Arabidopsis thaliana: one gene and its partners. The protein of the gene in region 1 interacts with the protein of each later gene in a pairwise test. Each region holds a gene or a part of one and is shown in the gene's direction. Other genes may lie near its edges. The genes, in order: PGLCT, EDS5, AT3G05350 and NHX3.

Region 1 (5,581 bases):
ATTTGGTAAAGCCATCTCATCGTAAATCTAGTAGAGAGAAACAAAAGTGTTCATATGGAACATAGTTCTGGATTCAAGGGATGCTTAAGTCAGTGACTTTACCATTAAAATGTGGCGCAATGGTACTCGATAGTGTGAAGCTAGAGATCCAACCTTTAAAACGACAACAGAACAGTTTCAGGTATGATGATTATTTGATCACGCAGCTGATCTTTGCAAAGTTATGAACAGAAAATACAAACCGATTCGCCGCTGAAGTTCATATAAGTCTGAGGTTTAGCCAACAAGATAGGTACATCTTCAATAGCACCTGTACTGATTCATACATAGAACCAAAAAGTCATCAGTTTTATTATTCTTCAAACCAAAGAACCAAAGCAAGAGAAGTAGAACCTATTCCGATTAGAGCTTTGGACTGTATAGTGTTCATCAACACCCCTTCTTTTCTAGCCAACACATCGATCATCTCGAAACCAACCTGAAAACAACACAAAGTTGTAGCATTGCCAAGATCAAATCCAGCAATTAAGTAAAAGAAAAAGATTGTGTATCATTACATTGTGTCTTGTTCCATGATACTTGTTTCCTGGATTGCCCAACCCAACGATAAGCCAAGGAGTGTACTCTACTTTGAATCTATCATCCTCACCACCAGAAGTAGATGAACAAACCCGAAACCTCTGTTTCCGGAAAACTGGCTTTTGCGTTTGAAAATGGTAAACACTTGGTGTATACGTTGGGCACAACATGGAACTGTTGTTGATTCAAAGACCTATTGAAATTGAAATGACTAGAAACTTTGAGATTCAATACTTGGAATATACATAAAGATAAAAGCTTTTCAGGATATAATGAAATTCGAAATCATATAACAACTGAGAATCAAAACTTAATGAAACCCATTAACAGAGATACAGCGCAGATAAAAAATAATTGAAGTGTAATCGAACAGAGGACTCAGCAAAATTTCTGGAGAATCAGAGATTAGCAATGAGCTACAAGGATTACACAAAAATGTATTTGTGGTTTATATTATGTTATAAATTTTCAGTAGAAGAAGGATAAGTGAGAAGGAAAATAGCTTACCTCTTCTTCTTCAGGATTTTTCGAAACAATTTCGGAATTTTCTTTTGCGAAGACGTTGGAACGAGATAGAAGTAGAACGATGAAATACTGAGACGAAGATGTTAGAAATTGGTCCCGTTTTGTATTAATGGGCTTACTAATATTAGCCCACAAAAATGATGGGTTAAATAATAGTGGCCCAAGTTACTATGATTTTTATACGTCACCGTTACTATGCTCAATGGCGGCACGTGAGTACTATTGAATAACACGTGCGGCTATATACGTCATCCAAAATCTAATCCAGAAAATCCAACGTTGCCAAATCGCCAATCCTGCGGCTCTTACGTAACTCTTTTACTTCTTTTTTTCTTACCCTTTTATCGACTAATTTATGTCGAATAATAATTGTAAATAATTTTCTCAATTTATAAACTCAAAAAAATTTCCTAATTAGTCCCGCCACTTAGTTCGATTTAGTTGATACTGGTTGATTTATTCAAATTTCCTAGCAAATATTACAAAATTACCAATCCAAAATTGAAAGTTGCATCACATGCATTAAATTTCATGATTTCTTTAAAATAAGAAATGAAAATACTCTATTTTCCGTATGGTTTTGGATAAATATGAATTATTACACAAAAATCCAAAACTAATAAGGAAACAAAATTGCATTATTTATTTTTTGGTGCGTTTTAATTTTTTTTTTTAAACGACAATAAGCTCCACAGTGAGTTCTTCTCAGCAATCACAATCTATCTGGTTTAAGCCCTCACTATCCTCTCTCTCAAATCGCGGAGTCTCCGAAGTTTCTCTGGTAATTTTCAAATCTGAAGTTTTGCTTTGGATATCACGATTTTTGTTAATCAGCCGCGATCGAGAAGAGCGTTTTTACTCTCTCGTTCGCATCAATGCAACATATTTCCCAATTTCGTGATGTTGCGTCTTCATCGTTCCTTACTTCTCTCTTTTTGAGTTCTGTTTGGTATAAATGCGATCCTTTTTTTTCCTTCCTTGCCTAATATTTCTCGTTTCCTTGCAATTACGGTTATAAAAAGTCAGACAAAATGCAGTCGTCAACGTATGCGGTTAAAGGAAACGCTGCGTTTGCGTTTCAGAGACGGACCTTCTCTTCTGACAGATCGACGACTTCTACCGGAATTCGCTTCGCTGGTTATAAGAGCTTAGCCACCACCGGGCCACTCTACTGTTCTGGTTCTGAAGCCATGGGAGCGACGCTTGCTCGTGCTGATAACGGGATCCAGAGCGTTATGAGTTTCTCTTCTGTCAAAGCTCGATCGGTCAGAGCTCAAGCCTCATCTGGTTCGTCTCTTCTAATGCTCTTCTATCTTTGTCTATCATTAGATTCTGTGATTGCTTACAAGTTCTTAAATACAATTTGAAGAATCTAATGTATAGTTTGGGATTTGGACTAATCATCTGATGGTTTGAGGAATGAAATGTAGATGGAGATGAAGAAGAAGCTATACCTCTGAGATCTGAAGGGAAAAGCTCTGGAACAGTTTTGCCTTTTGTTGGTGTTGCTTGTCTTGGTGCTATACTCTTTGGTTATCATCTCGGGTATGACTAAATACTACACTGTTTTTATCTTGGTGTGATCATGGATGATGATGTTCTATTGGACTGAATCAGGGTGGTTAATGGTGCTCTTGAATATCTTGCTAAGGATCTTGGGATCGCCGAAAATACTGTTTTGCAAGGCAAGTATATGATGATCCACTTCTTTACTCCTCCTGTCAACGGTAAAATGATTCGTGTTTTGATTAGTAGCCAAACTCATAATTGGTATTCTCTATGATTGGTGTTGAGCAGGATGGATTGTTAGTTCTCTGCTTGCTGGTGCTACGGTAGGTTCATTCACTGGAGGTGCATTAGCTGACAAATTTGGACGAACAAGAACTTTTCAATTGGATGCTATCCCGCTTGCCATTGGAGCTTTCTTATGGTAAATTTTCAAGCACTAAGCCATACCTATTGGTGAGACGTTAATTGATTTCTTAACGCATTGGTTCTTTTTTTATTGATTAGTGCAACAGCTCAGAGTGTGCAGACTATGATTGTGGGACGTCTGCTCGCTGGAATTGGAATTGGAATCTCATCAGCGATTGTACCACTTTACATATCTGAGGTTGTTTAAATACTGATTTTCATTATTTTTGCACTTTTAGCATAAGATGTTAGATTTGTTTATATGTTATGTCTCTGAAGCGTTTGATGATGGTTGTCAGATATCACCAACTGAAATCCGTGGAGCACTCGGATCTGTGAACCAGTTGTTCATCTGTATAGGAATACTTGCAGCCTTGATAGCTGGATTACCCCTTGCAGCAAACCCTCTATGGTATGTAACATCCCTTTTTTATTCATCATCTTTTATTTTGGGTTGCATACTGTGATAAGTTTTGATATCGTGGTCTTCTAGGTGGAGGACGATGTTTGGTGTTGCAGTTATCCCTTCCGTTCTATTGGCCATAGGAATGGCTTTTTCTCCAGAAAGCCCAAGGTGGCTCGTTCAGGTACTCTCAAGGAACAGATCTCAACACTTAAAATGAGATCAATTTTTGACAAGTCAAGGAAATCAATTTTGCAGCAAGGAAAAGTCTCTGAAGCTGAAAAGGCGATCAAAACTTTGTATGGTAAAGAAAGAGTGGTTGAACTAGTTCGCGACTTATCAGCCTCTGGCCAAGGTTCTTCTGAGCCGGAGGCAGGATGGTTTGATCTATTCAGCAGCCGCTACTGGAAAGGTATAGCAAGACTTGGTGGAGATACATTGTTTAGTTTGTAATAAAAGCTGACGGATTCCTTTCAAAGGTCATATCGGATTGATCAATTTACATAGTTTCTTGTCTGTTCTTGTTGTAGTTGTAAGCGTAGGTGCGGCTCTCTTCTTGTTTCAACAGTTAGCCGGGATAAACGCAGTTGTGTATTACTCCACATCGGTATTCCGTAGTGCGGGAATCCAATCAGATGTTGCAGCCAGTGCTCTCGTTGGAGCATCAAATGTCTTTGGTTCGTTTCCCCGTTATGTTCTCATTAAATTCCAAAAATAACCAAAAAAATAACACGATAAAAATCTGGTCGCAGGCACTGCTGTTGCTTCATCGTTGATGGATAAAATGGGAAGGAAAAGTCTTTTACTGACAAGCTTTGGTGGAATGGTACATGTTTTTATTAAAATTCTTAGCCATATTCGAAAATCTCAACCCTCATTAGTATTACCACAACAGGACTAACTTGGATTTTATGGTTTTGTATTGAAAAGGCTTTGTCAATGCTGTTACTCTCCTTGTCCTTCACATGGAAGGCTCTTGCTGCCTATTCTGGAACCCTTGCCGTTGTTGGAACTGTTCTGTAAGTCAATCTCCTCTTAACACTTCCTTATAGTCTCTCTGTATAGGACTTGACTGACTCTTATGCTCGGTTGTTTAAATCAGATATGTCCTGTCATTCTCACTTGGTGCTGGCCCGGTACCGGCTCTTCTTCTTCCAGAGATATTTGCATCCCGAATCAGAGCAAAAGCCGTCGCTCTTTCTCTCGGCATGCACTGGGTATATACATATATCTATAGGTTTTATGGGTTCAGAACAGAGTTTCTTCTCTCTGTTTCTAATGTTTTGTTTCTCTTTTGCCCTAACAGATATCAAACTTTGTGATCGGACTATACTTCTTAAGCGTTGTGACTAAATTCGGAATCAGCAGTGTCTACTTGGGTTTTGCTGGAGTCTGCGTCCTTGCGGTCCTCTACATTGCAGGAAACGTCGTCGAGACTAAAGGTCGATCACTGGAGGAAATAGAGCTTGCTCTTACATCTGGAGCTTGAAATTAAACAAAAGAAATCAGCAGAACAAAAACCAGTTTGTTTCATCATTTAGTTTGTGAGTCTTTCTCTAATCTGCTACTCTTAAATTGTACAATGGACGACGTTATCAATAACGAGAAATCTTTTCATGACCACTACATGTTGGCTTTCCTTTCCCACCTCTCCCTGGTATCTAGCCTGTTTCAAAACAAAAAAAGCATGGCATTAGCACGGTTTTCTCAATATGAAAAAGAATTCTAAAATTAGCGAAATAAGCTCACCCCCAAAACAGTTTTTGTGGCTTCTTCGGTACTGTGACTACTGTCTTGTTATGATTCTGTTCTTCTAAGGTAGAAGAAGAAGAAGAAGTTGGTTCTTTCAACTTTTTAGAGCTTTCGCCATCTTCGATCGCTTTACTCTGAGAATTCTTGCTCGCTGCATTTCAGTGTAGAGCTTTTAGTCTAGTGAATATGAACTGAGAATTCTCAAAAAAAGAGAGCTAAATATATATATACCTTTAGGTTTCTTCTTATGAATCTTTGCATTAGCTTTTATTTGCATACGTCTCTTGTGTAGCTCCTGTAATCTCAACACAACCAAAATGGCTTCAAATTCAAATTGCTATGTACATAGTAATTCGGTTGAAAGAAAAAAAAAAAAAACTGGATTGAACAGTTGATAGAAATTCGAAT
Region 2 (5,928 bases), on another chromosome or scaffold:
AGTAGAGAACATCACATCTTCGCCTCCTCTTTCATATTAAGAAGCCAATGATGGAGTCAATGCTTCTCAAATGCATAATGGAACATCAGACGCCATGGGATATTTCTTAGGAGAGGTTGGTGTACTTTAAAATGTCATCATTTTATGGTCGCAAGAACTTGATTAATCTCTTGAGTTGCCTATCTTTTTCCGCACAGGTCATGTTTCCATATCAAGCTGATTCAGATTTTGAGCTCAGCTTATCAGTTGGAGACTATGTTGTTATCAGAGAGGTTAGCATTCAAATCAAAGCATATAAGATACCATTCTTTCGCGGCTCAGGACATCGAATAACGGAAAGAATCTTAAAACTCTTTTTTTTTTTAATCTCTGTGGACTCATTCACATGTCTTTATGATGTTCCAGGTAGTGAGTAGCGTGTGGGCAGAAGGAGAATGTAAAGGCAACGCGGGTTGGTTTACTTACATCTACATCGAAAGAAGGGATCGTGTCTTCGCAACTAAGGTCATCGAGGTCTTCTAGTGGCTTCTTTTGGTGTGTTTCGGTGACTTTTGTTGCCATTGTTGTTCTGTATCTAACTTTTTTTTTTTTTTTTTGGTCAAAAATTCTGTATCTAGCTAGATTTCTTTTTCTTCCTCTCTTTACTTATACACAAGATCTGATCATTGAAGCAAAATAAATCTCATCTCCGATGATCTAACAATAATTTCCATAATTCAAATGCTTTCAGAAAGGATTTCTCAATACAGGTTAAAAATATCAATCTAATCTTTGCAAACTCATTAAACTAATTTAGTTACTTTCCTTAACTTTAAGAAAACAAATCTCAAATTTTGTGGCTATACCACCATTTTCATTGAAACTAACTACTCAATTAACGGTCTGAAAGAGGACAAAAAGATTTTCACAAGTGTACACCAATAAAAGAAAATCGTTTTTTTCCCTTATAAAATGACAAAAATTACCAAGAAATTAAATGGAACATAACTTACGACGAAATTTACCTGACGATTTTTTTTCCTTACTGAAAATTACCAAGAAATCGCGTGGAAGTCGGAAATGTTACATACTTTTCTTTGTAACTACACTGCGAAAGCAAAAAAAAAAAACATAAAGTCAACCTTTTGGGAAAATTGTCGTCTTTGACATCAGAAGAGATTCAAACTAAAATGAATGAGTACGTTACTTGCGTTATGGTTGGGTTTTCCTTTTTAATTTTAGAAACTTTTCTTACTTATATTTTGAATCAACAGTTGATAACACAAGTATAAATTATTATTTTCGCCATCACACTGGAGTCAAGCTCGAGAGAGACTTGTTTCCTAATTTAATTCATAAACTTGTTTCGACAGTGAATATATACATCTTCGAAGAAATAACACCATTGACTTAAAACCAAAATAAATAACAATAGTCTTATAATTTATATTATTCACACTTAAAATTAACAATACAAGTCTTTTCAAAGTCTTTTAATTATATAAACAATAGAAGTCTTTTTCATTGTCTCTTTTTGACTAATTAATAAAGACCATGAAAAGACTTGTATTGTAAGTTTTGAGTGTAAATTGTAATAAATTACTATGGTTTTGTTTGTTTTATATTTCTGCCATCTAAATAATTACATTATATGATAAAATAATTACCCTAGCGACAAATGACAGCTAGAAATGTAATAAGAACACCAACTAAATAATTATGCAGGTTAATAATGGAGCAAGTGATGTTCTTTCTATATACTGTACATTTTCTTTTTAAAAAATTATGTAATTTCGCAGAAGAGAAAAGAAAAACACGTGGTGATTAGAGAGTAGTATAAAGATAGTTGGTTGGGTTCTGTTTTTTTCTGTATCTCGAGGCGCCAAAAACAACAACAAAAAAAACTTCAGAGCGGTGATCAGATTCACCGATTTTTCTCAAAATGCTAATCAAATCCCAAAGATTGACTCTTTTCTCTCCTCTCTTGTCCAAAACAAGACGGATCCCGGTTAACTCCCACCAAACACTGGTCGCAGAATCGGTGATAACTCGGAGAACACTCGGTGCGATCACCGCAACTCCGAGTTTTCATAAAAATCCGGTGGTGATTCGACGGAGGATCAAATTAGAGAGAGTTACGAGGAACTGCGTCAGAATTGATCGGGAAATCGACGAAGAAGAAGAAGAAGAGGAGAAGGAGAGAGGGGATCTGGTGAAACAGAGCATATGGGAACAGATGAAAGAGATAGTGAAGTTCACAGGTCCGGCGATGGGGATGTGGATTTGTGGACCGTTGATGAGTCTCATCGACACGGTCGTCATCGGCCAAGGAAGCTCCATCGAACTCGCTGCTCTTGGTACGCTTTTCAATCATACTTGTCTTTCCGGTTTAGTAGCCAATTTTGAACCGGTGGACTGGTCCCCTACCCAATAGCTAAGCTGTAAGATTCATACACTGTTTTTGGTTCCTTTGTTTAGTCTCTTTCGAATATATTACACAGATTTGGAACCAATAATAGTTTTAAAAACAGGTAAACAAATTAGGCAAGTGTCCAGCTATATCATCTTATTATTTTAATCATTTTCCAAGCCAATCATTAGATTTGTGTCGGTTTACCAACTTCGAAAATTTAGTAGTTGTGTAACGTTTTTCACGATTCTTCTAGACAGAAAAAAATATAATCGGTAACATAATTAAAAGAACAAAATACATATGTTAAAGTTAAATATGTTGGTCTGAAGAAAAGGCAAATGGTTTTAGTCTCGTTGGTCAAAGTTAAAGACCGTTTTCAAGCATTTGATTATACAAATTTGACTAGTCAACGCAAGGCTAACTAACATAATTCAATGGTTAAAAAAGAAAAAATTGTTTGATTTTTGGTGAGAATACGGTAAATAATTGTTAGTATATTTTATATGATGGCTGAGAAAATTACCGGTTTAATAGGACCGGGAACAGTACTATGCGACCACATGAGTTATGTCTTCATGTTCCTCTCCGTGGCTACATCCAATATGGTTGCTACTTCTCTTGCCAAACAGGTTATTTACTTTTTACTCTTTCAACTTTGTTTTCTTCTTCTTCTGATGTCGAAACATCTCAAATGTTATTTATATTTCTTGCAGGACAAGAAAGAAGCGCAACATCAAATCTCTGTTTTACTCTTTATTGGATTGGTTTGTGGACTAATGATGCTTCTGCTCACAAGATTATTCGGTCCTTGGGCTGTTACTGGTAAACATTTTTTAGTACAAAAGTATGTTTCCGTTTTAAGAAATATTTGAGTGAAATGTGTATTTACACTCTTGTCATGGTTTTTTTGCAGCTTTTACAAGGGGGAAGAACATTGAGATTGTCCCTGCAGCTAATAAGTATATTCAGGTTCTTGTTCGTTTGATCATTCTCTGTTTCAAATTCTTCTGATGAATGGTGTCTCTCTTTAACTGGAATCTCTCTGTCTCGCAGATTCGAGGCTTAGCGTGGCCGTTTATCCTTGTTGGATTGGTTGCTCAAAGTGCAAGGTTTCTTACACTTCCCTTCTTATTAATCAGCTTTAACGTTCGATGTTCTGTGTCGATTTTCCGCCTCTTTATTACTTAATTTGATGTGAGAATCTGTCTCAGTCTTGGAATGAAGAACTCATGGGGACCTCTTAAAGCATTAGCTGCAGCAACGATCATTAACGGTCTTGGCGATACAATCCTATGCTTGTTTCTTGGACAAGGTATCGCTGGAGCTGCTTGGGCAACAACTGCTTCACAGGTAATATTAATTATAGTATCATGAAGCCCAACACTTGAAATGTAAATGCAGAAGATTTCATTACGGATTTATGTGTTTGTGTGTTATGTTATAGATTGTTTCGGCTTATATGATGATGGATTCTCTGAACAAAGAAGGCTACAATGCTTACTCTTTTGCGATCCCTTCACCGCAAGAACTATGGAAGATCTCTGCACTCGCTGCACCTGTTTTTATCTCCATTTTCTCCAAGATTGCTTTCTACTCTTTCATAATTTACTGTGCTACTTCCATGGGAACTCACGTTTTAGCCGCTCATCAGGTACATTACAAAACAGAGATCTTTATGCCCAGTCATGTTGGTGTTGTATATTTATAATTGTGGTTTTATTACAGGTGATGGCTCAGACGTATAGGATGTGCAATGTATGGGGTGAGCCACTCTCTCAAACGGCTCAGTCATTTATGCCAGAGATGTTATATGGTGCGAACCGTAATCTTCCCAAGGCTAGAACGTTGCTTAAGTCCCTGATGATTATTGGAGCCACGCTTGGATTAGTCTTGGGAGTTATCGGAACAGCGGTTCCAGGCCTGTTTCCTGGTGTCTACACACATGATAAAGTCATCATATCCGAGGTCTGTTTTTGTTTTTCAAATCAACATTTGTTTCCTGTGTTTTTGATTCTAACTTGGTCTAATCTGATTCTTGATATGTTTGCCAGATGCATAGACTGCTTATACCTTTCTTCATGGCGTTGTCTGCATTGCCCATGACAGTATCCCTCGAGGGTACATTGCTGGTAAATTACAAACTCTTGTTCGATTAGGTGGTTTCTTGAGAAGCAAGCAGCTGAATAAGTCTCTATATTTTTCAATCTTGAAACAAGATAGTATGCTTAAACCAAAGGTTGTTTCTTGTTCACCAGGCGGGACGTGATCTCAAATTCGTCAGCTCAGTGATGAGTTCAAGCTTCATAATTGGTTGTCTCACACTAATGGTACTTTATAGAGTCTCTCATAAACCTTAACTACGTTTATTAATCTTCAAAGACACTTTCAATTTGAGCAAATCTAAAATACTTTTTTGTTGTTGATAATGACAGTTCGTGACAAGAAGTGGCTATGGTTTACTCGGCTGCTGGTTCGTTCTCGTCGGATTTCAATGGGTAAAGACAGACATACACAGCAACATTTTGTTATCAGAGATTTTCTCTTTATCCAAATCTGTCTTTAACCAAATTATGGTTAACATTGCAGGGCCGGTTTGGTCTATATCTACGACGGCTTCTTTCGCCTGGAGGCATACTTAATTCAGATGGGCCGAGTCCATACACGGTGGAGAAGATTAAATCCATTTAAGTCTCAGTTTGATGATCTCATTGATTATCTAAGAGTTTGCCAACAAATGGCTAATTATGATATATCAGGCACCAATGTCAAGAAACGGCTAATTATTGTCAACTTTTTTCTTTGGTCAGAGGCTCAATGTAAATTTAAAGCATAATAGACAAATAATATATACAAGTGTGGTTAGTTCAATCAGTTAGAAAAGATCAAATTCACTGATAGATCGACTCTTCACAAAGCTTCCCAGCAAAGGAGAATTTGGCATAAAAGATCAATGTGATTGTATTTCTAATTGTATTATTATTGGAGAAATGAAAATGCATCACTACTCTTGAGATGAAAACAAACAAACGGGTAAAAATTTAAGCCGTTGGAACTCTACTTCCGCCTCTGCGTCCACGTCCATCAGGTCTCTCTGAATACTCTCTTCTCTACAATAACCAAAAGATTGAATGATCTTCAAACTCAAAAGAATAGAGAGTAAATACGCCATGTTTTCAGGGTTACTTACAAAGGGTTTAGTGGGTCTAGTGTTTGCGTATTTCTGCCTTCTAGTAATTGACATTCTCTCAACTTCCTTCTTCTTCGCCTCTGCTTTCATTTTGGTGGGACTGGGCCTATACAATATCACAGTCCGCCCTATTTGCCCTACTGCTACGGAACCAGTCGCTTCCTCCAAATGCTGCACCGCATCCTCTAGCTCATCGGGCGATGTCTTGCGTATTTTCACCTGTTCCTCATATAAGAATCAACAAGAGACTCGCTCAAGTAAGCCTTGAATGTTTTCCACAGTTTCAATCCATTCTCATAGATCAATCAAACAACAACATTCCTTTCACAAAACATAAGACCAAAACAAA
Region 3 (7,771 bases), on another chromosome or scaffold:
AACTTGTAAAAATGGTTGCAGAACAAAATGATGAGGAAGTTTTTTAGTATCACATAAGTCCAGATTCAAGTTTTTTTCAATTGTATCTAAAACACACACAACTTTCAGATTGAATAAAATCTGAATTTCATTCTCAGCAGAGGCTAATATAAAAATGACAAAAGAAGAGGAGGAGGATAGGAGCTATATGTCTACTATTTTTATTTTTTTAGCCAATGAGAGAGCTCCACTTCATACCCCACTTTTACCAATCGAGCGATTTCACAACCAGTCTCACCCATGTCGCGTTGAGCGCGTGTCTACGATTTCTAAAGGGGTTTGTCCACAGAAATCATGCCTTTTTTGATCCACGCAACTCACTCTCAAAAATCCATCGCGTGTCTTATTTTTTTTGGTTTTCTTCTCTAAACCAAATTAAACCGAACCGAGATCAATTTGAATTTCAAAACCAATGTAAACCCATCAAACCCATCGCTGTGAAAACAAAAAGCTCGGCCACTGTAACAACAAAAATGGAGACGACACAACTTGGAAGAGAAATCAACTCTAAATAGCCAAGAGAATGTTCGAAAACCCCCTCAAATCCGATGCTTCCTTTGATTCCAACCTCCAAAAGCCCATCTGCTCAAATCTTCATTTCGAGGATGAGGACTCGAGGAGTATTACAAGGTACCTCAATAGAATCAATGGCTTCCATGGATTTTGAAACTTTACTTCTAATAAACACCATTGTAATGTCTTGTTGTGAAGTTGTGTAAGGAACAAAGGATAGTGAAAGCTGAAGAGTGGGATTCGTTTATGGAGTTTCAGAGTTTTTTTTGACTAAGTGGCCTCTGTTTTTGATTCTTCAGTGGTCAATTTTGTGATGGGATTTGATTGAAATTGGAGAATGATTTCATGAAATCTCTTCGGGCTGAGGTTGATTCATGACTCTTTCATTTTTCTAGTGTCTCATTGATGATAGACATAAGAAGCATACTTAAGGCCATAGAGAGTGGTGAATTGGAGGCAATCAAGCCTTTGCCTTGGTACCCTAAGAATCTTTCTTTTCACGGAAGGAGATTAGAAAAAACCAGATACTTGAGAGGTACATTTTCATGCCAGTTGCTTCAGAACAAGTATTCACTTCCATTCCCTTACTTGTGTTAGTTCAGCGCTTGAGAAATATTATGATCTTGTTTCAGACTTTCAGCTGTCAAGAGACAAGGCCCGTTTTACTATCAGGTTAAAATCATGGTCAGCTTCTTGTCCCAAACCACATTGTTGCAAGGTTTTGTAATAAATCTTGGCTCGATAATGCATTCAGAAACTTCTTCTACTCATATCTCAAAATATGTTTTGAATTCTAAACCCCATGGTTATCAATATAAAGAATATTAGTATCTATTTTTCTCTTTTCTGGTGTGGTTGCAATTTATCGTTTGTCTCTTTCGTGGAAACCCTTAATTCAGGCGGTATTAAGTCTTTCTCATAAAACTTTCTAAGTCAAACCAAAATTCCAATCGAAATTCTCAGCATGAAAGTCTCGAACACGTTTACATTTCTTACGCACCCAAAGACTCTTGCTTCTTGCACACGTCTCTCTTGGCTGTCCTTTACCATAACGAATTTGATGAGATTGTTTCAAAATAAAATGTTTCTTTTTGACAAGTCTGGGATTTTAATGTAATTATCAATAGTCATGCACATTATACAACATTTAAAAGAATACGGGGGTTGTTTTGCAATTTTCAGTAGTTATACACATTTATCCGTAATCACTCTGCTCAAGAAGCTTCTCCTCTTGTGTGATTCTCCTGCAATCGCTGGTGATGATTCCTCTAACTCTTTCGTCGCCGTCTCTGAATCGGCTCGTTTTATCCACATCACGTTACTCACACTCTCTATTTCTCAGCAATTTCAATTCGCTCTCTCTGATCCACCGGAAATTACCGTATAAACCTCTTTTTGGCGCAAGGTGTCATGCTAGTAGCAGCAGCAGCAGCTCTTCCTCCTTCACGGCAAAGTCTTCCAAAGAGATTCGTAAAGCTCAAACCAAAGTAGTTGTCGACGAGAAGCTTAGCTCGATCCGGCGACTGTTTTCGGAGCCGGGTGTTGGAATCGACGCTTATATCATACCTTCACAAGATGCACATCAGGTTCTCTTTTTTTAAACCTCTTCTTAACTCGTGATTACGAATTGAATAGGAAGTTCTAGTAGATTCAAAACTGTTCAATTGTGTGTGTTTTTAAGTCAATTATTGGTCCAAGTGGGCAAGTTTGACTATAGAAAGGAGTAGGTAGAAGTCTACTAGAGAGCTGCAAATTTGTGTTTTGTTTTCTATTTTTCTCTCTCTCTAAATAGAGACGTAGAAGCCATAGCTATCATAACCTGTTACTTACAAAACAAACAAAATGATTCCAAGCCAATCTAATTCCTTTTCTGGTAGTGTTATTACCTTGTATTTCTTCCTCCTGGGTTCCCTTGTTCTACGCACTCTTGCTTCTTCTAGGCTTCACTATTGCCGCCATGACCAAAGGGATGCTCTTCTCGAGTTCAAACACGAGTTTCCGGTAAGTGAATCGAAGCCAAGTCCATCGTTGAGTTCATGGAACAAGACTAGTGATTGCTGTTTTTGGGAGGGTGTCACGTGCGATGATGAATCTGGCGAGGTGGTTTCACTTGACCTTAGTTATGTCCTTCTCAACAACTCTTTGAAACCAACTAGTGGTCTTTTCAAACTCCAACAACTCCAGAACCTGACTCTCAGTGATTGCCATCTCTATGGAGAGGTTACTTCTTCACTAGGAAACCTTTCTCGTCTCACGCATCTTGACCTTTCGAGTAATCAGCTGACAGGTGAAGTTCTGGCTTCGGTCAGTAAGCTAAACCAACTTAGAGACCTTTTACTTTCCGAAAACAGTTTTAGTGGTAACATTCCTACTTCATTTACCAATTTAACGAAGCTTTCTAGTTTAGACATCTCTAGCAATCAGTTCACATTGGAAAATTTCTCTTTCATACTACCAAATTTAACCAGCTTGTCCTCCTTAAACGTTGCCTCTAATCACTTTAAATCCACGCTTCCATCTGATATGAGTGGACTCCACAACTTGAAATATTTTGATGTGCGTGAGAATTCATTTGTCGGGACTTTTCCTACATCCTTATTCACGATTCCTTCGTTACAAATTGTTTATTTGGAAGGAAACCAGTTCATGGGACCTATAAAGTTTGGGAATATATCTTCATCTTCTAGGCTTTGGGATCTAAACCTTGCTGATAACAAATTCGATGGGCCAATCCCTGAATATATATCTGAAATTCACAGTCTCATAGTACTAGATCTTAGCCACAACAACTTAGTTGGGCCAATCCCCACTTCTATATCAAAGTTGGTCAACCTTCAGCATCTTAGTCTTTCAAACAATACCTTGGAAGGCGAAGTGCCAGGTTGCTTATGGGGATTGATGACAGTGACACTTTCCCACAATTCTTTCAACAGTTTTGGAAAGTCATCATCCGGAGCTTTGGATGGAGAATCAATGCAGGAGTTGGATCTTGGTTCGAATTCACTTGGAGGACCTTTTCCCCATTGGATCTGCAAGCAAAGGTTCTTAAAGTACTTAGACTTGTCCAACAATCTCTTCAACGGCTCAATTCCTCCTTGTTTGAAAAATTCCACTTATTGGCTTAAAGGGCTAGTTCTGCGTAACAACAGCTTCAGCGGATTTCTCCCAGACGTATTTGTCAATGCTAGCATGTTATTATCACTTGACGTTAGCTACAACCGGTTGGAGGGAAAACTTCCAAAATCCCTGATCAATTGCACTGGTATGGAACTTCTGAATGTGGGAAGCAACATAATCAAGGACACTTTTCCATCCTGGTTGGTTTCTTTGCCATCATTACGTGTCCTCATCCTCAGATCTAATGCATTCTATGGGTCGTTATATTATGACCACATATCTTTTGGGTTTCAACATTTGAGACTCATTGATATATCACAGAATGGCTTCAGTGGAACTTTGTCACCTTTATATTTCTCCAATTGGCGTGAGATGGTGACATCTGTCTTAGAAGAAAACGGCTCTAATATAGGTACAGAGGATTGGTACATGGGCGAGAAAGGGCCCGAGTTCAGCCATAGTAATTCGATGACTATGATATATAAAGGAGTAGAAACGGACTTCTTGCGGATCCCATATTTCTTCAGAGCCATTGACTTTTCTGGAAACAGATTTTTTGGGAATATACCTGAATCCGTTGGTTTGTTGAAGGAATTGCGTCTTCTCAATTTGTCAGGTAACTCATTCACAAGCAATATCCCTCAGTCATTGGCAAATTTGACAAATCTTGAGACATTGGACCTATCCCGGAATCAGCTATCAGGTCACATCCCTCGAGATCTTGGTAGCCTCTCTTTTCTGTCGACCATGAATTTCTCCCATAACCTTCTCGAAGGTCCAGTTCCACTAGGCACTCAGTTTCAAAGCCAACATTGTTCTACATTCATGGACAACCTCAGACTCTACGGTCTTGAGAAAATCTGTGGAAAAGCTCATGCCCCGAGTTCTACACCACTAGAATCCGAGGAATTTTCGGAACCAGAAGAACAAGTGATTAACTGGATAGCAGCGGCAATAGCCTACGGACCTGGTGTGTTTTGTGGATTAGTTATTGGACATATCTTCTTTACTGCACACAAACACGAGTGGTTCATGGAAAAATTCCATCGAAACAAGCGCAGAGTAGTCACCACAAGTGCTCGTTGAACACCATCACCTCTCACAATTTCTCTGAGTGATTGTGAAACGTATATGTTTGTTATGATATCTGTCAGTTGTGTTATGCATAAACTCTTTGTCTTTGTAATTTTCTACTTTATGGTATTGTAAGAAACGGCTTTGGTGGTATCTGATCTTCTATATGTTGGGTTGAAAATGCATTCAGATTTTTCTTCCTAGTCAAATCTCAACTTGTCATAAGAGGATGTTTCAATTGTAGAGCCAAATGGAAGTTCTTCTTCTTCTAAATCACAGTATGAAATTCTCCAACTCGTGTTTTATTTCATTCTCCCCAAAGTTTCTTGCTCCGCTCACACGTCAATCTTGCTGTCCCTGAGTATACCAAATTCGATTTGGAGATTCAAGATAAAAAATAAATATGATTTGGACCAGTGCGGGGGTTGTTATGCATCTATGCAATTGTTTTTGCCATTTTGATATGGGTAATGTGTTGTTTCGGTGAATTTTACATACTAGGAGCTTAAGATCTACTTTCATAACTGATGTTGCCTGTAATATATTTCTGTGCCATTAGGAAAGTCACAAATTTATGTTTTACTTCTAAATGTATCCATAAACTGCCTGAGTTTTTCATGGCTTGAGTGTGATTTTTCTCCATATTTTGTACTAGAGCGAGTTCATCGCAGAGTGCTATGCCAGGAGGGCTTATATATCAGGATTTACTGGAAGTGCTGGTACCGCTGTTGTCACCAAGGATAAGGCAGCTCTATGGACAGATGGCCGCTATTTTCTTCAGGTTTTGATCATTATCGTCCTTTAAAATTATTTGATTGCCATCTCATATTGAAAGGAAATGTGGAGTTTCTTATCTACATTCTCTGCAATTATTCTATCAAAGGCGGAGAAGCAATTAAACTCTAGTTGGATTCTCATGCGGGCTGGTAATCCGGGAGTCCCCACGGCGAGTGAATGGATAGCTGATGTTTTGGCGCCTGGTGGAAGAGTTGGTATTGACCCTGTAAGCTATTATTAAACCTTCTAAATTGTGTCTCCTTTTGTCCTTAAATATTGTAGTTTGTGGTTTGTTATTTACAAGACTTTGGAATTCATGAAGGGAGCAGTTCCTTTTTTCCGCCGATGCTGCTGAGGAATTGAAGGAGGTTATAGCAAAGAAGAATCATGAGTTGGTTTACTTGTACAATGTAAATCTTGTGGATGAGATATGGAAGGACTCAAGGCCAAAGCCTCCAAGCAGACAAATAAGGATACATGACTTGAAGTATGCTGGTTTAGATGTGGCCTCGAAATTGTTGTCTTTGAGGAACCAAATTATGGATGCTGGCACATCTGCCATTGTAATATCCATGCTTGATGAGATTGCATGGGTGCTTAATCTGGTAATACTCTAGCATAGCATCTTACATTTGAATCTGTTAGTTTTGTGCCACTGATATCAGCTTATCCTTCACATAGGTCCCAATGTATTGATGTTGTATTCTGCCTCTTCTGACTGCAGAGAGGGAGCGATGTTCCACATTCACCTGTAATGTACGCATATCTGATTGTAGAGGTTGACCAAGCCCAACTTTTTGTAGATAATTCTAAAGTAACGGTGGAGGTGAAAGATCATTTGAAAAACGCAGGGATCGAACTTAGACCTTACGATTCCATTCTTCAAGGAATAGATAGGTAAGTACTTGATTGTCCATGTCCATTTATGAACTTCAGAAAAAGGAATTTCCCTCACTTTGAGTTTTCTCAGTTTGGCAGCACGAGGAGCTCAGCTCTTGATGGATCCATCAACCCTCAACGTAGCTATCATTAGTACCTACAAATCTGCCTGTGAAAGATATTCGAGGAATTTTGAAAGCGAAGCCAAAGTTAAGACAAAGTTTACTGATAGCTCCAGCGGATATACTGCCAATCCTTCTGGTATTTACATGCAATCTCCTATTTCGTGGGCAAAGGCCATTAAAAATGATGCTGAGCTAAAGGGAATGAAGAATTCTCACTTGAGGTAAAGAAAGCCATTGCTTTTACGATATTTTCCTAATCCAACTGCCTTTATAGGATTCAACTTTTCTCTGGAAGATTTTGGTTTCTTTTGTACTTTCAAATGCTAAGTATCTTAGGCTGACCAAATATATATGGAGAAATGCTGCTGCTCTAGCTCATTTCTGGAAAATTTTGGTTTCTTTTTTTCCTATGTATGGGAAATGTCTTTGGCTGACCACTTATTTTATGCAGAGATGCTGCTGCCCTAGCTCATTTCTGGGCTTGGCTGGAAGAAGAAGTGCATAAGAATGCGAATCTAACAGAGGTCGATGTGGCTGACAGGCTTCTTGAATTCCGTTCAATGCAAGATGGTTTTATGGATACAAGCTTTGATACAATAAGTGGTATGGTTATTGTCACCCTTGTTGGTGGAACTTGCTTCTTAACACATAGTCAATATACAGCCAGTGAGTGATATGTATTCCTTTCCTCTAATTACCCATGCAGGTTCCGGTGCAAATGGTGCTATTATACATTATAAGCCCGAGCCTGAGAGCTGCAGTCGTGTAGACCCTCAAAAACTTTTTTTGCTGGATAGTGGCGCTCAATATGTTGATGGAACAACAGACATCACCAGAACAGTACATTTTAGTGAACCTTCTGCCCGTGAAAAGGAATGTTTCACTCGAGTCTTGCAGGTGGAATATTTGGCTCTTCTTTTCCTCATCATTTTTGATGACCATTGACTACCTATATTGAACAGACGAACCTGTATGGGTTGCCTTGTCTGATTGGTATTTTGGTTGTAGGGTCATATAGCTCTTGATCAAGCCGTGTTCCCAGAAGGTACTCCTGGTTTTGTATTGGATGGGTTTGCACGCTCTTCTCTATGGAAAATTGGACTTGATTACCGCCATGGTACTCTATTCTATCTTTTGACTCTTCTTCCCAGAACAACTTTTTTGTAAGGAACTCATATTACTCTGATATTTTGCCTGCCAAACAGGGACAGGACACGGCGTAGGTGCTGCACTCAATGTGCATGAAG
Region 4 (5,883 bases), about 17 Mb from region 1:
CAAAAATGGAAACAAAATCCGATGAAACCTATAAGAAAGCTTCGATTTTTCTTTGGATGAAACTCAGAAAACCCCCAAATTTTTCTCTTTGATTTCTATGAAACGATTCAAAAGGAAGCAACTTTTCTACTGATTTATTGATTAACAGTGAAGGGTATTGAATAAATAGGAGAAGAAGGAGATAGAAGACACTAACCAGTGAGTGTTTGCCATGGACTTTTAGATCTTTGAGCAAAGAGTTGAGTAGACAGCAACTGGATCAAAATAAGAGCTAAAAATAGAAACTTTGAAGCTTGTAAGACATGCATTGTTGGATTATCTCGCATGTTTATCATCTGTAACAACCTGAGTTGTCCCGGCGGCGACTTCACCAACTTCGACCAAAAACTGAGATTTACTCAGAGAGAGAGAGAGAGAGAGAGAGAGAGAGAGCTTTTTGGTTTGTGGGATTCGAATTTATATGATCGTTGATTATTTTAAAAGGGAAAACAAAAGAACTTCGACTTTTTGTTTTTGACACATTTTTCCACTTTAAAAAGAAAACATCAACTAAAATTTTATTTTTTTGGTTTTTCATAAATAAACTAAAATGTTTTTCAATGTGTCTCCATATCTTTATTGCAGACAGAAAATATTGGGAGTGTAATTTTGACTCAATTTTTTTTTGAGAATACAAGAGTTTAATTTTCATGGGATAACTAAATAAGTTTTATTTTAAATTAGAATATAATTTTTTGATTGGTTGTCTCCAACCTAGAGAAACCAAACAATTGTTTTACATATATTTGTGTATTTATTTTTTATAGTTATGCGTTCTTCATTTATTACGACCTACTCTCTCTTTGTTTTTCTTTATTACTACCTACTTGTTTCCAAAACCAGCTAAACTATAAGCAAGCATAATAATAAACTATATAATGCATGCAATTGCAATATACATGTGTCAATCATTGGTCTTGTTATAATTAGGATTAGTGTAGAAACGGCTATTAGATATCAATTATATCCCTGCAATTTCTCCCTTAATCACTCCTATAGTAATTGGTGTATATCTGTTTTCCTCTACGGTACCAACAAATAAAAAGTCTACTGCGGGGAACGTATTTGTTTTTCTTGTTTCCTCTTCTCTTCTCTGTATATAAGAAAAATTGTATCATTCTAGTGATACTACCCATTACCCAATACGCATTCCAATAATGGCTACATTTACATATATGATATATGCATATACATATCACATATGAGCAGATTTATTATTTATCTAATATACACATTATATATCCGAATTCTATGTTTTCACGTTAATTATAATATTTACAAGTTTCTTAATTTATATTATAGCTATAATGATACTAGTATCTTAAAAAATGTTGAGAAGGCGGTGGTGGATGATCGATTAAAAGTCAGGTAGGTCCTAGAACATGGTCGTTAAAGATTACACGTGGTGAAATAGGTCGCTGAGTCACTTTTTACGTCATCAAAACACGACCAAACGAAACGATCACGTTCTAGCGTCTTGGCTGTTGCAACCGGGACCGTTACTCAGTAGAGTGTTTTATTTCGATTGGTTCGAGTCTTCACCAAATAATTCGTTGTAATAAATATTGAGTTTTCAAGTTTCATAATTTTATATAAACAGAATAAAGAACAAGAGGTAAAAATAAATTAAGGAAAAAGAACAACAATTTACGCGAGTTAGTTAGACCCAAAAAAGAAAAAAGAAAAAAATCCCCAAATCCGGTAAGAAAAAAATACATGATGAGTTAGTTTTGGGCCCTAAAAAGGCCCAAGATGCAGTACAATTCCAAAAAGCCTCACGTTTACTCAGTCTGATGACGTTGGAAACATGCCACGTGTCTTTCGTCTCCTCGCCACCTGTAACCACCGCCTTGTTCATCGCAGTTCAAATCTCTCCTCACTCTCTGACTCTTTCCTCGTCTCTCTCTCTATCGTTCTCTGTGTGCCTTCTTCGTTTGCGATTGGTGTTTTCAAAATCGACGAAATCGAAAACATTATCGAGTGAAAAATGAGTATCGGATTAACAGAGTTTGTGACGAATAAACTAGCAGCTGAGCATCCTCAGGTGATACCAATCTCAGTGTTCATCGCCATTCTCTGTCTATGTTTAGTTATCGGCCACTTGCTTGAAGAGAATCGATGGGTTAATGAATCTATTACCGCCATTTTAGTAGTAATTTTCTTCAAAATTTCTTCTTTTTTTTGTTTTAGCTAAAGTTTTGAGCTTTTCTGCTCTTAAAGAACAATTTTATCACTATTTTTGATTGGTTTTGTTGCAAGTAGGGAGCAGCATCAGGAACAGTGATCTTACTTATTAGTAAAGGAAAAAGTTCACATATTTTGGTGTTTGATGAAGAACTCTTCTTCATTTACCTTCTTCCTCCAATAATCTTCAATGCTGGGTAAGCTTACTATGGTTTTGGTTACTATGTTGTGGTTAATGGGTTAGATTACACTATGATGGTGATTGACTGAAGATTTTTTGGTTTGTTGTGGCAGGTTCCAAGTTAAGAAAAAGAAGTTTTTTCACAACTTTTTAACCATCATGTCCTTTGGTGTGATTGGAGTTTTCATCTCCACTGTCATTATCTCGTTTGGTAAAAAATATTTCATTAATCTTTGAATGACTTGACTATATGATTTAAAGTTGATTATCTCGGAGTTGTTACCATCTCTATTTTTGTTGTTTTTATAATGTGAACCAGGGACTTGGTGGCTGTTTCCCAAGTTGGGATTTAAGGGGTTGAGTGCTAGAGACTATCTTGGTAAGATTTTTCACTGATCTATGTTTCTTTTCATTTCTTGTTGAGATGGTTATTACTTATCAGTTTGCGAGAGTGAATGCTTTCTTGTTTTGATTCAGCCATAGGAACGATTTTCTCATCAACTGATACTGTTTGCACTCTACAGGTTCTTGATTTAGAAGATTCTTTGTCTTACTACTTCTTCTATTAAAAGTTTTTTCTTACATTGCATCTTAAACTTTTACAGATTCTCCATCAAGATGAAACACCATTGCTATACAGCTTAGTCTTTGGAGAAGGAGTGGTGAATGATGCAACCTCAGTTGTACTGTTCAACGCCGTGCAAAAGATTCAATTTGAAAGCCTAACCGGTTGGACGGCGCTGCAAGTATTTGGGAACTTTTTGTACCTCTTCTCAACAAGCACACTTCTCGGAATTGGTGTAAGCTATTGAGTTGGCATAGTTTTTTACTCTGTTTGAAGCATATCATGAGTAATCTTAGAACTGTGAATGTCTTGCAGGTGGGGCTAATAACATCTTTTGTTCTTAAAACCTTGTATTTTGGAAGGTAAAAGTACACCAAACTTGCAAATTTTTCATCTCAAGCTTAAGTTTTTTTTTTTTAGTGATAAGATGTGCCTTTATATTGATCTTGTTATATGGTTGCTGACAGACATTCTACTACACGCGAACTCGCCATCATGGTTCTAATGGCTTACCTTTCATATATGTTGGCTGAGGTAATACACTGGTCATGAACGCTACTTTTTAGTTTTCATTTGGAATTGAAGTGCTGCATTTCTCTGTTTTAACTCAATATAGTTGTTCTCTTGCAGCTCTTCTCATTAAGTGGAATTCTTACTGTTTTCTTCTGTGGTGTTTTAATGTCGCATTATGCATCATATAACGTGACAGAGAGCTCAAGAATCACTTCCAGGCAATGTATCAGACAATTGTTTATTCGCTGAAGTCTCAATTTGCAGGAATTGCTTTTGTCTGACTGTGCATCTATATTTTGCAGGCATGTATTTGCAATGTTGTCCTTTATTGCGGAGACATTCATATTTCTGTATGTTGGAACAGATGCTCTTGATTTTACAAAGTGGAAGACAAGCAGCTTAAGGTATAAAGTCGTATCCATTTATCAGCTGGTAGAGCGTTTAGAGTGTTTTGTCAAAACAATACACAGCATTTTGATATGAACCTCGTGTATTTCTTAAATGCATACCTAGAATCAAGATTATCCCAAAGACATCCTCTATGTCTTCTTCTCTCTTGACACGAAGTTAATCGCCAATTAACTGTTAGTTAAGCTGTGGTGGTGACTCGTTGTTTCTGAAATCTCTTCCCAATGAAGACTTGTAACATTAATCATCTTCTTGCAGCTTTGGGGGTACTCTGGGTGTCTCCGGTGTCATAACCGCATTAGTATTGCTTGGACGAGCAGCATTTGTCTTTCCACTCTCGGTCTTAACAAATTTCATGAACAGGCACACTGAAAGAAACGAGTCTATCACATTTAAGCATCAGGTTTAGCTCTTGTTTGTTACAGTTACATTATCAGAAGCACTAAAATAAAAAATTAATAATGGTCCGAGAATGGGAAAGTTTCTGTTATATAATTCTCTCTTTGTATACTTTATAGGTGATCATTTGGTGGGCAGGTCTAATGCGAGGTGCTGTCTCAATTGCTCTGGCTTTCAAGCAGGTTTTTCTCTTTGCACATTCATATTATCTCTAATCTCTATTGTATTACTTTTACATTGAATTAGTAACATTTCCATTATATCTCATTTTGGTATATCTTTCATGTGCCAAGTTCACATACTCCGGTGTTACATTGGATCCTGTGAATGCTGCCATGGTCACCAACACCACTATCGTTGTTCTCTTTACTACACTGGTAAAACAAATACTACCTTAGTATATGGCCCTACTGGTTCTGGTAGTTTTCTGTGTTAAGATCAAAAGAATGACTTCTTTGTCATGTAACAAACAGGTCTTTGGTTTCCTCACAAAACCACTTGTGAATTATCTCCTTCCTCAAGATGCAAGTCACAACACCGGAAATAGAGGTAAACGCACTGAGCCAGGTTCTCCGAAAGAAGATGCGACACTTCCTCTTCTTTCCTTTGACGAGTCTGCTTCCACCAACTTCAATAGAGCTAAAGATAGTATTTCCCTTCTGATGGAACAACCTGTGTACACCATCCACCGCTACTGGAGAAAGTTTGACGACACATACATGAGGCCTATCTTCGGTGGACCTCGTCGAGAAAACCAACCAGAATGCTAGGTATACCCTCCATTATTACCACACAAATTTATACATTTTGCAGCAAACGCACCTCACTTGATCAATAATGTGTAACCGGAATTAATAAGTACATCCGGGAAGAGGTGCCTACAATATTCATCATGATAAGCGAACAATTCTCTCTTTTTGTGTTGCAGAATTGATCCGGGTTCTCCGCGGGGAAATCATGATGAGTTAGTTTTTTTTATAGTCAAGAAAGTAGGATAGTTGGTTTAGCTAAAACAGTTTCTTAAAGTTTTTGTTAAATGTATACAACAAGGTTCTTCTATATACACAAGCTGCGATTATTACTGCGAGTTTGTAATTTATTTGGATCGGAACATAAGACATATTGTAAGACTTCAGATCAGTTGCAGGACAAGTTCGAGTGAAGTCTGCTAGAACGGTCTGTCTCCATCTCAGTTCCTCAAAGCTGCACTTACAGAACAGCAAAACGTAAGCCTTTTTTACTTCATACTTCATATTGGGATCCTACTAGTCTACCGGTTTTTAGTATCTTAATGGTATTTTGATTTTACCTTGGCAAGCAGGAGGGATTGTTGTCAGGCCACATTTGCTCAGAAGAGCCTGGACTTTAGATGGGTAAACCGCTAAAACGGGGAGAACAGACTTGAATCTGCAGATGCATTTCAGATTAGCGGCTTGGAGGAGTTCACAACACTCTTTGATTGGAGATGGCGGGTTGTCTCCAATTACGGCTGGACGACATTTTTCCAGATGGTTTGCGTTGATGTTACATGCGGTAATGCTCGTAGGTTCTTCCATCAACACCAAGGCGGCTAAAACTATTGCAAGAGCTGCAA

The links.
Region 2: the proteins of PGLCT (region 1) and EDS5 interact in a protein complementation assay, tested with the Arabidopsis thaliana proteins (one large-scale study listed by BioGRID).
Region 3: the proteins of PGLCT (region 1) and AT3G05350 interact in a protein complementation assay, tested with the Arabidopsis thaliana proteins (one large-scale study listed by BioGRID).
Region 4: the proteins of PGLCT (region 1) and NHX3 interact in a protein complementation assay, tested with the Arabidopsis thaliana proteins (one large-scale study listed by BioGRID).

The regions. Positions count from the first base shown.
Region 1 is NC_003076.8:5,270,769-5,276,349, forward strand, and holds PGLCT (plastidic GLC translocator), read left to right. Parts: upstream 1-1,707; 5' UTR 1,708-1,885; exon of another isoform or gene 1,886-2,126; 5' UTR 2,127-2,135; coding exon 2,136-2,391; intron 2,392-2,534; coding exon 2,535-2,649; intron 2,650-2,721; coding exon 2,722-2,789; intron 2,790-2,901; coding exon 2,902-3,034; intron 3,035-3,117; coding exon 3,118-3,217; intron 3,218-3,317; coding exon 3,318-3,430; intron 3,431-3,511; coding exon 3,512-3,605; intron 3,606-3,679; coding exon 3,680-3,833; intron 3,834-3,951; coding exon 3,952-4,098; intron 4,099-4,173; coding exon 4,174-4,247; intron 4,248-4,351; coding exon 4,352-4,440; intron 4,441-4,523; coding exon 4,524-4,638; intron 4,639-4,727; coding exon 4,728-4,910; 3' UTR 4,911-5,044; downstream 5,045-5,581. Other genes in the region: AT5G16140 (Peptidyl-tRNA hydrolase family protein), read right to left, coding at 1-27, 103-153, 243-310, 394-478, 558-749; AT5G16160 (uncharacterized protein), read right to left, coding at 5,045-5,087, 5,171-5,324, 5,405-5,468. UniProt on the Arabidopsis thaliana protein: May be involved in the efflux of glucose towards the cytosol.
Region 2 is NC_003075.7:18,183,819-18,189,746, forward strand, and holds EDS5 (MATE efflux family protein), read left to right. Parts: upstream 1-1,618; 5' UTR 1,619-1,921; coding exon 1,922-2,336; intron 2,337-2,926; coding exon 2,927-3,021; intron 3,022-3,105; coding exon 3,106-3,214; intron 3,215-3,305; coding exon 3,306-3,361; intron 3,362-3,445; coding exon 3,446-3,501; intron 3,502-3,603; coding exon 3,604-3,742; intron 3,743-3,836; coding exon 3,837-4,043; intron 4,044-4,117; coding exon 4,118-4,357; intron 4,358-4,443; coding exon 4,444-4,521; intron 4,522-4,647; coding exon 4,648-4,719; intron 4,720-4,824; coding exon 4,825-4,887; intron 4,888-4,978; coding exon 4,979-5,080; 3' UTR 5,081-5,406; downstream 5,407-5,928. Other genes in the region: AT4G39020 (SH3 domain-containing protein), read left to right, coding at 42-115, 198-272, 406-522; AT4G39040 (RNA-binding CRS1 / YhbY (CRM) domain protein), read right to left, coding at 5,431-5,499, 5,580-5,798.
Region 3 is NC_003074.8:1,527,884-1,535,654, reverse strand, and holds the start of AT3G05350 (Metallopeptidase M24 family protein), read left to right. Parts: upstream 1-1,745; 5' UTR 1,746-1,811; coding exon 1,812-2,138; intron 2,139-2,293; exon of another isoform or gene 2,294-2,394; coding exon of another isoform or gene 2,395-4,755; exon of another isoform or gene 4,756-4,987; intron 4,988-5,398; coding exon 5,399-5,524; intron 5,525-5,626; coding exon 5,627-5,746; intron 5,747-5,849; coding exon 5,850-6,125; intron 6,126-6,244; coding exon 6,245-6,417; intron 6,418-6,490; coding exon 6,491-6,745; intron 6,746-6,975; coding exon 6,976-7,127; intron 7,128-7,230; coding exon 7,231-7,421; intron 7,422-7,532; coding exon 7,533-7,641; intron 7,642-7,729; coding exon 7,730-7,771. Other genes in the region: AT3G05365 (uncharacterized protein), read left to right, coding at 563-669, 948-1,087, 1,185-1,279; RLP30 (receptor like protein 30), read left to right, coding at 2,395-4,755. UniProt on the Arabidopsis thaliana protein: Catalyzes the removal of a penultimate prolyl residue from the N-termini of peptides, such as Arg-Pro-Pro.
Region 4 is NC_003076.8:22,468,729-22,474,611, reverse strand, and holds NHX3 (Na+/H+ (sodium hydrogen) exchanger 3), read left to right. Parts: upstream 1-1,905; 5' UTR 1,906-2,026; coding exon 2,027-2,191; intron 2,192-2,301; coding exon 2,302-2,420; intron 2,421-2,517; coding exon 2,518-2,615; intron 2,616-2,723; coding exon 2,724-2,783; intron 2,784-2,881; coding exon 2,882-2,928; intron 2,929-3,009; coding exon 3,010-3,204; intron 3,205-3,284; coding exon 3,285-3,331; intron 3,332-3,436; coding exon 3,437-3,503; intron 3,504-3,599; coding exon 3,600-3,700; intron 3,701-3,784; coding exon 3,785-3,886; intron 3,887-4,148; coding exon 4,149-4,293; intron 4,294-4,408; coding exon 4,409-4,471; intron 4,472-4,582; coding exon 4,583-4,666; intron 4,667-4,762; coding exon 4,763-5,059; intron 5,060-5,217; 3' UTR 5,218-5,367; downstream 5,368-5,883. Other genes in the region: SVL1 (SHV3-like 1), read right to left, coding at 197-335; AT5G55460 (Bifunctional inhibitor/lipid-transfer protein/seed storage 2S albumin superfamily protein), read right to left, coding at 5,479-5,492, 5,599-5,883. UniProt on the Arabidopsis thaliana protein: May act in low affinity electroneutral exchange of protons for cations such as Na(+) or K(+) across membranes. May also exchange Li(+) and Cs(+) with a lower affinity.